Linked DNA regions of Anolis sagrei. Each later gene encodes a partner of the first gene's protein in a complex. Links are inferred from orthologs where the notes say so. Each region holds a gene or a part of one and is shown in the gene's direction. Other genes may lie near its edges.

Region 1 (7,347 bases):
TAATCTGAGGCTGGATTGCTATCTGTTGGGAGGGCTTTGATTGTATGTCACTGTTCAGAAGGAGGTTGGGCTGGATGGCACTTGGAATCTCTTCCAACTCTGTGATTCTATTCTATGACAATGCCAAGGAGATATAACTTATGGCTCTTCCATCAAACAGTATGATAGGGGCTTTTTTGTGTCAAGTGTGAGAGAATTGGCCATCTTCAAGGACGTTGCCCAGGGATGCCTGGATGTTTTACAGTCCTTGTGGGAGGCTTCTCTCATGTCCCTGCATGGGGAGCTGGAGCTGACAGAGGGAGCTCAATCCACTCTCCCCGGATGTGAACCTCTGACCTGTTGGTCAGCAGTCCTGCCGGCACAAAGGTTTAACCCACTGTACCACTGGGGCTCCATGACAGCTGTTGAGATAGCTGACTGGATAATCCAGCAGGGGATAGAACGCCTTGTCCCAAAGGGACAACTATTTTCTGTCAAAACTGTCAACTGATCACAGAGGAGGAACTATCACATCTGGGATCACAAAATATCCAGACCTCCATCCAAAAAATGTAATGTACCACTATGTGTGTATATGTCATCAAGTTACCTGTCAAATTATGATGACACTATGGATTTCATAGAGCATTCTTAGGGAAGTTAAAACAATCAGATGTGGTTTGGTCTGAAGAAAAGGGGGAACAGCCTTGTTTTCTGCTGCTCTAGAACAGGCATGGTCAAACCTGCCCCCCCCCCCAGTGTTTTGGACTTCAACTCCCACAATTCCTAAGAGAAGCTGTTAGGAATTGCTTGAGATCTCCCTGCACCTTCGGAATGATGGAAGAGATGAGGGAACTATGGTCGGCTCTTGGAACTGGCAAACCCAAACTCTTAAGTTTTTTTACAAGCAAAAAATATTATTTTAAAGACAGATTAAGAGCAATTTGAAATAAAGAGCCAGTCTAAAGCGAAAGGCAGCCTTGAAAATGTTCAAACTAGCATTTTAAAAGGTAAAGCTTTCCCCCTTGACATTAGTCTAGTCTAGTCGTGTCCAACTCTGGGAGGGGGGGTGCTCAATCTCCATTTCTAAGCTGAAGAGTCAGTGTTGTCCATAGATGCCTCCAAGGTCATCTGGCCACCATGACTGCAAGGAACTCGGTTACCATCCTTCCAGAGCGGTACCTTATTGATCTACTCACATTTGAATGTTTTTAAACTGCTAGGTTTGCAGAAGCTGGGACTAACAGCAGGAGCTCACCCCATTCCCCGGACTGGAACCGCCAACCATTCAGCAAATTCAGCAGATCAACCGAGAGTAAAACTAATATAGCAAAGGAAATTTCTGTGGGGTGGGTTAGAGCAGGGAATCAAGTGCCATTTGAATACATTTAAAAGCCCTGTGCAATGTAACTTGCCTGGATAGAGTTTGGAAAATTACTTTTAAAGGCAACCAGTTTCAAAATAGTAGATAGTGTTTTGTAGGGATTATATATCTCTCTTTCAGCTCTATCTACCTAAGCCAGGCTTGGGCTGTTAGGAATTGTGGGAGTTGCAGTCCAAAACACCTGGAGGGCCAAAGTTGGTCCATGCCTGAGATAGATAGTAAGGAACCATTTCTCAACCTGGGGGTTGGGACCCCTGAGGGGGGTCGCAAGGGGGTGTTAGAGGGGTCACCAAAGACCATCAGAAAACATGATGGTAGTTAGAGTGGTCCAGCATTTCTATATTCTCAAATAATATGTTGTATCCAGGTTGGTTCATCAGGTGCTCTGCTATGTCTGACTTCTCTGGCTGAAGTAGTCTGCAGTGTCTTTCATGTTCCTTGATTCGTGTTTGGGCGCTGCGTTTGGTGGTCCCTATGTAGGCTTGTCCACAGCTCAAGGACAGCTCAACCCATTACGCAAAATAAGCATTTGCAGTATAGTTGATTTTGCCCAGGGGCGCTCTTGAGGCGCTCTTGGGGGAAAATAGACCTTGACATATGTGAGTTGTAGTTACTGGGATGTATAGTTCACCTACAATCAAAGAGCATTCTGAACTCCACCAATGATGGAATTGAACTAAATATGGCACACAGAACTCCCATGACGAACAGAAAATATATATCAGTGATTGGTTGGGGGGTGGGGGGTGCCAAAATACTGTTTGCTTACCGTTGAAAATTACCTCGGGCCGCCTCTGCCAGCTGCATGGTATACGGTAGACTCCTGCAGAAGTGAGAGGATCCCTCTTGTCCACCATGTCAGACTACACAGAGAAGCCATTGAAATCCACAAGCATGTGGACAATTTCAACAGAAAGGAGGAAACCATGAATATGAACAAAATCTGGATACCAGTATTAAAAAACTCTAAAATTACAACAGCAAAACAACAGGGGGGGGGGGGGGGAATCAGACACACCTAATCACCTCTCAACAAAAGATTGCCCCAGGCACTGCCAGGCCCTCAAATGCCAATCAAGGTGGTCAGTTGAAACATTCACGCCTATCTCCAGCAGACAAGAGTCCTTTGTCCCACCCTGGTCATTCCACAGATATGTTATTTTTGTTCATTCGTTCAGTCGTCTCCGACTTATTTATTTATTTTATTTGTCGTGTCAGAGCAACTAGTCCATTATATTACATTTCTAACAGACCAAAGCAAACAAATAGAAAAATACAAAACTTGTGAGTTTGGTAGTTGGTTAAATGTCCTTTGACTAGTATCTGGCCACTTGGAGTGCCTCTGGTGTTGCTGCAAGAAGGTCCTCCATTGTGCATGTAGCAGGACTCAGGGTGCATTGCAGCAGGTGGTCAGTGGTTTGCTCTTCTCCACACTCGCATGTCGAGGATTCCACTTTGTAGCCCCATTTCTGAAGGTTGGCTCTGCGTCTCGTGGTGCCAGAGCGCAGTCTGTTCAGTGCCTTCCAAGTCACCCAGTCTTCTGTGTGCCCAGGAGTGAGTCTCTCATTGGGTATCAGCCATTGGTTGAGGTGCTGGGTTTGAGCCTGCCATTTTTGGACTCTCGCTTGCTGAGGTGTTCCAGCGAGTGTCTCTGTAGATCTTAGAAAACTATTTCTAGATTTAAGTCGTTGACGTGCTGGCTGATACCCAAACAGGGGATAAGCTGGAGATGTCTCTACCTTGGTCTCCGACTCTTGGTGACCTCATGGACCATCCCACGCCAGAGCTCCCTATCGGCCGTCACCACCCCCAGCTCCTTCAAGGTCAGTCCAGTCACTTCTAGGATGCCATCCATCCATCTTGCCCTTGGTCGGCCCCTCTTCCTTTTACCTTCCACTTTCCCCAGCATAATTGTCTTCTCTAGGCTTTCCTGTCTCCTCATGATGTGGCCAAAGTACTTCAACTTTGTCTCTAGTATCCTTCCCTCCAATGAGCTTTATTTCCTGGAGGATGGACTGGTTGGATCTTCTCGCAGTCCAAGGCACTCTCAGAACTTTCCTCCAACACCACAGTTCAAAAGCATCTATCTTCCTTCACTAATGGTGATTCAGGTTATTTTACAACAATATATTAATATGTAAAAGCAACCTTCTAAACCCAGATTTAAGCCACTGATCCAACAAATAAAACTCCTCATATAAACCCTTTTTCCTAGTTCCAACAGACCTCACTACCTCTGAGGATGCTTGCCACAGATGCAGGCGAAACGTCAGGAGAGAATGCCTCTAGAACAGTGGTTCTCAACCTGGGGTCCTCAGATGTTTTTGGCCTTCAACTCCCAGAAATCCTAACAGCTGGTAAACTGGCTGGGATTTCTGGGAGTTGTAGGCCAAAAACATCTGTGGACCCCAGGTTGAGAACCACTACTGTAGAACATGGCCATATAGCCAGAAAAAACCTACAACAACCCAAACTAAGAGATATGTAAACCATTGTGGAATGTCAGTGCAGAGACCTACGCCCTGAAGACCCTCAAAATCAGCTCCCTTACCTGTAGAAGCCAATAAATAGGGAATCCAGAGTCTCTCCAAGAGGAGCCTTGTTGCGACTTCAGCTCGCGCCCAAAGCCCTGCGTTGGCGACGCCGCTCCGTCTCTATAGCGACTTCTCGCGAGATTTCCTCTCCGATCGCACTCTTCGCTCCTTCCCCCCTCCCACACCCGTCGTGACGTCAGAGCGCCGACCTGTCAAAAACCGTCTTTATATCGGCAAAACAACCCATACGATTTAGATTTGATAGCAAAATTAAATAAATAAGAATACCTGCTCAATTCCACGAGTCAAAATAAGACAGAGGGAAAAAAAGCTAATTCCTGACGTGGAAAACATTTTTACAGCCACTACAGCCGCCTTTCAGCTCGCTAACGGGAAAACAAGATGGCGGCGCTTGAGGGGGTTTTTCTTCCTCCCTCCTCTCCCCCCTCCCTTCTTCTTTCGCCTCCTTTCAAACCCGTGGAAGCCCCGCCCCTTTTCCTTTTCCCCCAGCATGCTTTGCGCATTTCTAACGAATTTCGTTACGAGTTTGCCGTTTGGGCGCCATTTTCGAGTGTGGAAGCCGCCAAGGCTGCAGGCAGGAAGCGAGCGGAGGGAGCAAGCTCTGAAGGGAGGCGCAGGACGGTAAGCGGGCCTTGGGATCCCGGGAGCGGGGGAGAAGGCAGCCCCACGCTTGGAAATCATCGCTGCTCATACTGTGACCATTACTGATTGCTTCAGCTTCTGGAGATATTGGAGGAACTCGAATCAGAGGAGAGAAACTTCCCCCATAAATGGGGTCTATGACTTCTCTGTGGGGTTGAAGGGAAAAATATAATCATGATCATTATGATCAATATTAATAATAATAATAGACAAGATGAGGTGTTGTTTTCCATCGGAGTCTGAATTTAAAAGAAAGGAAAAAGGCGGCATTCTTTAATTTCCCTTTTTCCCCGCCACAATTTGCCTCTATGGATCTATCTATTTTTTTTAATGGGAGAAATTAGAAACCTTATGCTTTTTTAAGGTTGTCACAAGAGATAATATTTTTACTAATTTTTGAAAATATTATTTTTCGTCGTTTTATTTATTTATTTATTTAAAAGTTTTGTATACCAGCCTTCTCACCTCTCTTGAGGGACTCAGACCGGTTTCCAACCATAATATCACATAAATCAATAAAACAACATAATACATATTACAGTAAAACATTAAAACAGCAATTACAATCAATTAGAAACCTTATGCTTTTTTAAGGTTGTCACAGGAGATAATATTTTTTCTAATTTTTGAAAATATTATTTTTCGTCGATTTATTTATTTAAAAGTTTTGTATACCGGCCTTCTCACCTCTCTTGAGGGACTCAGACCGGTTTCCAACCATAATATCACATACAATCAATAAAACATCATAATACATATTACAGTAAAACATTAAAACAGCAATTACAATCAATAACTATAATTAGGTTCTTGTAGGTTTTTTCGGGCTATAGGGCCATGTTTCCAACAGACCTCACTACCTCTGAGGATGCTTGCCATAGATGCAGGCGAAATGTCAGGAGAAATGCCTCTAGAACATGGCCCTATAGCCCGAAAAAACCTACAAGAACCTAGTGATTCCAGCCATGAAAGCCTTCGACAATACAATAACTATAATGGTCAGTCATCATACTTTTTTTTGTTTGTTTGTCGTGTCAGGAGCTTCTTGAGAAGCTGCAAGTCGCTTCTGGTGTGAGAGAATTGGCCGTCTGCAAGGACGTTGCCCAGGGGATGCCCAGATGATTTTTTTTAATGTTTTTATCATCCTTGTGGGAGGCTTCTCTCATGTCCCCGCATGAGGAGCTGGAGCTGATAGAGGGAGCTCACCCGACTCTCCCCTGATTCGAACCTGCGACCTGTCATACTAAAATCGTTGCTCATCATCCTCCATCCATATCTCAGGGTGTTGGCTCACTCGTCGAATGCCTATCTCCATAACCAAGTCTTCACCTGTTTCCTAAATGAAAATGAATAAGCCTTAATCAGCAGAGAAACTGGTCCTACTTTTTATAAAAAATTACCAATTACCAATTGTAATATAATGATAAAAAAATAATAATTTATTTGTAACCCACCCTATTTATTTAAGGGACTCAGGGTGGTTTCCAACAAGCCTCACAACTGACAAGCCTCTGAGGATGCTTGTCATAGATGCAGGCGAAACGTCAGAAGAAAACGCCTCTAGAACATGGCCAATATATTATTAGCATAGCAAAATATTATATATTACTATATTGTACTGTACCACTATAATGCAATATTAGTAATATTACATGTAATACATATATAATTATTATATTATTTATTGTTAGTAGTATTGTATTACATTATAATATCAATATTATATGTACATACAATATATTATATGTATTGTCGAAGGCTTACATGGCCGGAATCACCTGATTGTTGTAGGTTTTTTCGGGCTGTATGGCCATGTTCTAGAGGCATTCTCTCCTGATGTTTCGCCTGCATCTATGGCAAGCATCATCAGAGGTAGTGACCGGATGCTTGCCATAGATGCAGGCAAAACATCAGGAGAAAACGCCTCTACAACATGGCCATACACCCCGAAAAAACCTACAACAACCCAATATATTTTATTATTAACATAGTAGACTGAACTTTCTTATAGTGTTTGATTTTGTCACATTCTCAAGTAATTTAGCTACAACACTCTATGGAGTCTGGTGTGGTCCAATAGGAGGTCCAAAGGGTCGACACTATTTGTTACCACACAGAGTGACACCAACCCTAGTGACGGCAGAAGTTCAACAGAACCTCCTTCCGCAGTCTTAAAACACTGCCCGGTTGTGCTATTAAGGCAAGCCTTAATGTTTTCAACAAGCCTCACAACCTGTGAGGGTGCCTGCCATATATGTGGGTGAAATGTCAGGAGAGAGTGTTTCTGGAACATGGCCAGACAGCCCAGAAAACTCACAGCTACCCAGTGATTCCAACCATTAAAGCATGCGACAATACATTAGCAAGCATGTATCAATCTCATATTTTTCCTGTTTGTCTATTATGGCATTGATGCAAGCATGGGCAAACTTCGACTCTCCAGATGTTTTGGACTTCAACTCTCACAATTCCTAACCGCCAGTAGCTGTTAGGAATTCTGGGAGTTGAAGTCCAAAACACCCGAAGGACCAAAGTTTGCCCATTCCTGCCTTAATGCCATAATAAGCAAACAGGAAAAATCCAAATCAGAAACGGTGAATAAAAACAACCTCAATATAAACTTGTAAGAATTAATATTTATATTAGGATTTAATGCTTTGCCTTAGTGTTTTATATGGTTTTAGTGATTTTAATTTATAATTATATGCCAGTGTTTAGCTATTGTTTTATTATATGTATGGTGGCATTGAATTCTTGCCAATGAGAAAGACAGTATATAAATATACT
Region 2 (7,144 bases), on another chromosome or scaffold:
TGTTGTTGTTGTTGTCTGTATCATTAAAATACCTGACATACCTCTCTTTGCAGGGCTCTGTGAGGCTGGTGCGCGGCCGCCCCAGGAAGAAGGTGGTCGACCAGGAGAACTAGAGGCCACATTGACAAAAGCGTCTAAGGACGATTGGGTTCACCTGGCTGCTCATGATGCCGCCTTCAGCCCGAGGAATGCCTTTCTTTCAGACTTTTTCCTCAAAGGCAGCTACATCCAAAGGGGGCCAAAGATGTGTTGCTGGCTTTGGCGACAGAGGAAACAGCTGCTGGACGGCCGTAGCTTTTAATGGGGAGGCCTCGAGGGGTCCCTCCCTCGTTCCCTGCAATTTCTAAGGGGCCAAACTTTGCAGGGTTCATCCTTTAATCCAAAGTGCCTTTTCCCATCTTCTCTTTGTGCCTCTTGCCTTTCGCCATGTGCCTTTTCTCAGCATCAGGCACACGGTTGCACCATTGAAACGGCCTGCCTTTTTGAAGCGGTGCCAATGGCACAGAGACTGGCTTCGCTTCCCGAAACTCCATGGGTTTTGGAGCTGTGGCTGATGAGAAACCAAAGCAAACCCGCAGCCTCTTGGGTTCCCTTTTTGCCAGAGAAGGACCTCGGTCCGGCTCAATCGCTCACATTCCCTTCTCTCTGTGAAAACACTAACTTGGCTACTACTTGAAGACCACCACAGGCTCAGACACTTAAATGTATTTGTAATGTTTTAATATTATTTTTAAATAAACACATTTTGTCTTGTAAGGTGGCTCTGTATTTATTTGGTTTGGCAAATGGAATGTGGGTGACTCAGGGCAATTTATTTTAATATTGCTATTATAAATAATAGGGGTCGCAGTGGGCTAAACTGTTAATCTGTTGAATTTGCTGATTGTAAAGTCAGCAGTTCAAATCCAGGGAGCAGGGTGAGGTCCCACTGTTAGACCCAGCTTCTCCCAACCTAGCAGTTTGAAAACATGCAAATGTGAGTTGATCAATAGGTACCGCTTCTGCGGGAAGGTAACAGTGCTCCATACAGTCATGCTGGCCCCACGACCTTGGAGGTGTCTATGGATAACACCACCTCTTCAGCTTAGAAATTGAGATGAGCACCAACCCCCAGAGTTGGACACAACTGGACTTAATGTCAGGGTAAAGCTTTACTTTTACTTTTTATTATAAATAATATAAATTAAATCATTTTATATCAATTTATATTAATATAGAAATAATATTAGTTATTGTTAATAGTAGTTTTTGTATCTTTCCTCAAGGCAGATCAAACTCAATACCATTAAAATAAATATATTAAAAATATAGGACAAAGATTAAAATGCAAATAATAAGTTATACATTTATTAATTTCTTGTAAGCTGGCTCTGTGTTTATTCTGTTTAGAAAGTGGAATGTGGGTGAAGCAACGCTATTTATTTTAATATTGCTATTATAAATATGAAGATAAATATAAATATCAATTATATTAAAATACAAATAATAATATTATTGGACTTTTAGCTGCAATCAGTGAGGCAATCTGCATAGAGACCTGTTGGAAATATGAAACAAGTGGAATGTATATGTGTGTGTGTGTGTGTGTGTGTGTACATATATATATGTGGAATGATGCCCAGGGTTGGAGAAAGAACGTCTCTTTGAGACAAGTGTGAATGTTGCCATTGGCCAGCTTCATTAGCAGCTGCAAAGTCAATCTGTGAGGGTATCTGAAAAGAACACCACTCAGAAACAGGAGAACTCACACAACAAGCAATCAAGTGCCAGTGAATGCCTCCCAAACAGAGGGTGCCTCCAGGCAACAATGGCCAGGCTACCACTTTGCAGATACTCCCAATGATTGACTTTGTAGCTGCAAGGGTATTCAATGCTAATCCAGCTGCCAAGGGAGAAAACATGGCGGCAGTGACAGACTTTGCATTTCTAGACGTGAAGATGAACGCAGATGCAGACTGCAGCTAGGAAATCAAAAGACGTTTCCTTCTTGGGAGGAGAGCAATGACCAGTCTCGATAAAATAGTGAAGAGTAGAGACATCACACTGGCAACAAAGATCCGCCTAGTCAAAGCAATGATATTCCCAGTAGTAACCTATAGATGTGAGATCAGGACCATAAGGAAGGCTGAGCGAAAAAAGATAGATGCTTTTGAACTGTGGTGCTGGAGGAAAATTCTGAGAGTGCCTTGGACCGCGAGAAGATCCAACCACTCCATACTTCAAGAAATAAAGCCCGATTGCTCATTGGAGGGAAGGAGATTAGAGGCCAAGATGAAGTACTTTGGCCACATCATGAGAAGACAGGAAAGCTTAGAGAAGACAATGATGCTGGGGAAAATGGAAGGAAAAAGGAAGAGGGATGGATGGCATCCTTGAAGTGACTGGCTTGACGTTGAATGAACTGGGGTGGTGATGGCCATCAGGGAGCTCTGACGTAGGTTGGTCCATGAGGTCACAAAGAGTCAGAAGCAACTGAACAAATAACAACAACCAGCTGCTAATGGCAACATTCACACTTGCCTCAAACAGATGAGAGTTCTTCCACCCTGGGTCTCATTCCCCAAGTATATATACAGTCCAGTTGCCTCTTTTCCAGCAGACCTCTATGCAGATACCATCACTGATTGACTCTGCATTATTTTTTATTTTATCGTGTCAGGAGAGAACCAAAACAGTTGTACTGCATTAAAAACAAACAAACAAACAAAAAAGTTTGCAGACTTGGTATTCCATTAAATGTCCTTTGACCAGTATCTGGCCCCTTGGAGTGCCTCTGGTGTTGCTGCAAGAAGGTCCTCCATTGTGCATGTGGCAGGGCTCAGGTTGCATTGCAGCAGGTGGTCTGTAGTTTGCTCTTCATATTTATATCCATATTTATATCCAGGCATCCTCATATTTATATCCTGCTTTTCTCCCTCACGGGACAAAAAGTGGCTTAAAACATATTTATTTATTTATCGTGTCATCAGCAACCATACCATTGGATTACATTTCTAACAGAACAAAACAAACAGATTAAAAACCCCCCACAGATTTTGCAAATTTGTTAGTTGATTAAATGTCCTTTGACCAGTATCTGGCCACCTGGAGTGCCTCTGGTGTTGCCGCAAGAAGGTCCTCCATGGTGCATGTGGCAGGACTCAGGTTGCATTGCAGCAGGTGGTCTGTAGTTTGCTCTTCTCCACACTCGTATGTTGTGGATTCCACTTTGTAGCCCCATTTCCTAAGGTTGGCTCTTCATCTCGTGGTGCCAGAGCGCAGTCTGTTCAGCGCCTTCCAAGTTGCCCAGTTTTCTGTGTGCCCAGGGGGAATCTCTCATTGGGTATCAGCCATTGATTGAGATTCTGGGTTTGAGCCTGCCACTTTTGGACTCTGGCTTGCTGAGGTGTCCCAGCGAGTGCCTCTGTAGATCAGCTATTTCTTGATTTAAGTCGTTGACGTGCTGGCTGATACCGAAACAGGGGATGAGCTGGAGATGTCACTGTCATGGTCCTTTCACTATTGGCTGCTACTTCCTGGCAGATGTCAGGTGGTGCAATACCGGCTAGACAGGGTAATTTCTCCAGTGGTGTAGGGCGCAGACACCATGTGATAATGTGGCATGTCTCATTAAGAGCCACATCCACTGTTTTAGCGTGGTGAGATGTGTTCCACACTGGGCATGCAGACTCAGCAGCAGAGTAGCATAGCACAAGGGCAGATGTCTTCACTGTGTCTGGTTGTGATCCCCAGGTTGTGCCGGTCAGCATTCGTATGATATTGTTTCTAGCGCCCACTTTTTGCTTGATATTCAGACAGTGCTTCTTGTAGGACTTTGCATTGATTTGATTTTTACAGTCTACTTGCTTCATTTCCACAGACCTCACAAGCTCTGAGGATGCCTGCCATAGATGTGGCCGAAACGTCAGGAGAGAATGCTTCTGGAACACTCGGAAAACTCACAACCCAATACTAAACCTGCTTTCATTCATTCATTGCTTTCTTAACTCGGAAACTGAAAATAAATGTATGTCTCTAACTTTTTCCTAAGTCTATGCTCTCACAAACAAGTCTCGCATAAACCCCGCCCACTAGGAGCTCGCTTTCTCGTCTGCGTGTTGACGTCACGTCCCCCGGCGCATGCGTAGTGCGTAGCGCGGGTACATTCAAACAAGAGAAGCGCCGGTAGAAAAGACTCGTCCGCATTTGACAGGTTCGTCGCTTCAGAACGGGCAGCGGCGGCGAAGAAGACTCGTGTGGCCGGCGGGAGAGGTAAATAGAGGCCTGTTCCTTGGGAATTAAAGGCTCGAAAGAGAGGAAGGGAACTGCGGCCTAGTCAGGCCTTCGCTTTGTTTGAAAGAAGGAAGCGAAGAGGTTTCTGATTGGTCAACAAGGGGAAGGCTCAGCCAATAGGGAGTGTTGAAATATGGAACTCTTCCAGGGCGCGTGTTGATTGGACAAGGCGCGAGCGATGATAGCCAAAAGGGTTGCTGTAAGTTTTTCGGGCTGTATGGCAGTGTTCCAGAAGCATTCTCTCCTGATGTTTCGCCTCCATCTGTGGCAGGCATCTTCTTATTTATATCCCGCTTTTCTCCCTCACGGGATAAAAAGTGGCTTACAACATATTAAAATCATCTAAACAACAATCTAAATATATTGATGACCAAATATATTGATGCATCGTTGGAGCAAGGGGTTTTTCCGTCTCAATTGAAACAAGCGGTGGTGCGTCCACTCCTCAAAAAGGTTTCCCTTGACTCCACGGTGCTGAACAATTTCAGACCGATCTCCAACCTTCCTTTTTTGGGCAAGTGCTGGAGCAGGTGGTTGCCTCCCAGCTCCAGGGCTTTCTAGATGACACCAACTACCTAGATCACAGTCTGGTTTCAGGCCTGGTCACGGTACCGAGACAGCCTTGGTCGCCTTGGATGGTGGATGACCTCCGTAGAGAGCTGGACAGGGGGAGTGTGACTCTGTTGGTTCTCTTGGACATCTCAGCGGCTTTCGATACCATCAATCATGGTATCCTTCTGGGCCAACTCTCTGGGATGGGTGTTGGGGGCACGGTTTTGTCGTGGCTCCGATCCTTCCTGGAGGGTCGATCCCAGATGGTGAAGCTGGGAGATGCCTGCTTGGACCCCTGGCCATTGACCTGTGGGGTCCCGCAAGGCTCTATTTTGTCTCCCATGCTCTTCAACATCTACATGAAACTGCTGGGAGAGATCATCCGGAGTTTTGGAGTTAGGTGCCACCTCTATGCAGATTACACTATTACTCTATTACTCATTTCCACCCAACTCCAAGGAGAGTTGAAACACAGTTGGTCATGCAGGTTCTCTGTGCAAAATTTGACCCAGTTATATCAGTGAGGTTCAGAATGACCTTTGATTGTAAGTGAACTATAAATTCCAGGAATTACAACTCCCAAATGTTAAGCCTATTTTCCCCAAACTCCACCAGTGTTCACATTTGAACATATTGAATATTCGTTGCCAAGTTTGGTCCAGATCCATCATTGTTTGAGTACTCTCTGGAGGTAGGTGAACTGCAACTCCAAAACTCAAGGTCAATGCCTAACAAACCCTTCCAGTATTTTCTGTTGGTCATGGGAGTTCTGTGTGCCAAGATTGGTTCAATTCAATCATTGGTAGAGTTCAGAATGCCCTTTGATTGTAGGTGAACTACAAATCCCAGCAACTACAACTCCCAAATGACAAGATCTATCTCAACCCCACCAGTATTCAAATTTGGGCGTATTGGTTATTTGTGCCAAATGTGGTCCAGTGAATAAAAATACATCCTGCATATCAAATATTTACATTACAATTCATAACAGTAGCAAAATTACAGTTATGAAATAGCAATGAAAATAATGTTATGTTGGGGGTCACTGCAACATGAGGAACTGTATTCGAGGGTCGCGGCATTAGGAAGGTTGAGAAGGACTGGTTTAGGGCTTTAAAGGTCAAAAACAGCATTCTCCTGGCTTTGCTGGTTCTGTTGCCTCCCCCAAAGTGCGATGTAGGCAGAGGGAAGTAGTTTAAAAAAGAATCAAGGATTTCTCCAAGACTCCTTTTCATCCCTCTGGAATATAGATTTGATAAATGGCATTCTTCCTGTCTCCCAGTAGCAATGAGTTCCTCAACCCCACAATCGGCCGGGCGGAAAGGAAGCACCTCTTCCGACAGCGTGTTTGTGTCTCCTGGCACCAGGCGGCAGCCACTGAGTTCCTCTGGGACCCCTGTCTTGGAGAACTGCCCCGACAATGACGACGAACGAGAAAGGAAGCAGAGGCGGCGCTCCAGAATTGTTGACCTGCAGTTTAGCACTGACTCGCCTCTGGCCATACAATCTCCCTCCAACAAGTAAGAGCAGATTTTGGAAAAAAACGAATATGTTCATATGTGTGCAGTTGTTTCTTACGGTAGAATGCTGGAGAGTCAGCTCTCCATATTCTCTAAGTTTAAAAAAGCGAGATCCCTCTAAAAGAGGGAAAAAATGAATAAAGAAAACCTGAGAACACCTCTTTAGAAATCTTAGCCATACAATGCAACTCTGCAGTCTATTTTGGAAAGTTTACCATAGAATCCTGCTGCAGGACCTGCAGGCCTAGAGAAGTGATCTCCCTCGTGATCTCTTAAGTCCTCTATGGCAGAGGTTTACCATACAGATGTCCTGGAGGACCTGGAGATACCGAAAAAGAACGTATTAATCAAGTCCGCAAACAATCAAACTCGCAAAAGAAACCTGCCAGTGTGGAATGCTGGCTACTGTATATACTCGAGTGTAAGCTGAGTTTTTCAGCTCTTTTTTAAGGCTGAAAAAGCCCCCCTTGGCTTATACTCGACTCAAAGTTATTTATTATTTTACTCTGTTATTATTATTATTATTATTACATTTATTTTACTCTATTTATTATTATTGTTACATTTATTATTTTACTCTATTATTAGTAATATTACATTTATTTACTCTACTAATTTTTATTATCTCTATTATTTTACCCTATTGTTATTATTACATTTATTATTTTACTCTCTTTATTATTGTTAATACATTTATTATTGTTCTCTATTGTTATTATTACATTTATTGTTTTACTCTATTATAATTTTTATTACGTTTATTATTTTGCTCTCTAATTGTTATTATTACATTCATTATT

What was found. Proteins that work in one complex are often made in the same cells at the same time.
Region 2: SMC4 (region 1) and NCAPH share a complex: the UniProt entries of both Homo sapiens proteins name them as parts of the condensin complex. The link is inferred for Anolis sagrei from reciprocal best matches to the Homo sapiens genes SMC4 and NCAPH.

The regions. Positions count from the first base shown.
Region 1 is NC_090023.1:246,701,006-246,708,352, forward strand, and holds the start of SMC4 (structural maintenance of chromosomes protein 4), read left to right. Parts: upstream 1-4,284; 5' UTR 4,285-4,299; coding exon 4,300-4,539; intron 4,540-7,347. UniProt on the Homo sapiens protein: Central component of the condensin complex, a complex required for conversion of interphase chromatin into mitotic-like condense chromosomes.
Region 2 is NC_090027.1:23,074,895-23,082,038, forward strand, and holds the start of NCAPH (condensin complex subunit 2), read left to right. Parts: upstream 1-4,094; 5' UTR 4,095-4,251; intron 4,252-4,449; exon of another isoform or gene 4,450-4,471; intron 4,472-6,106; exon of another isoform or gene 6,107-6,109; 5' UTR 6,110-6,111; coding exon 6,112-6,344; intron 6,345-7,144. Other genes in the region: REEP4 (receptor expression-enhancing protein 4), read left to right, coding at 54-113. UniProt on the Homo sapiens protein: Regulatory subunit of the condensin complex, a complex required for conversion of interphase chromatin into mitotic-like condense chromosomes.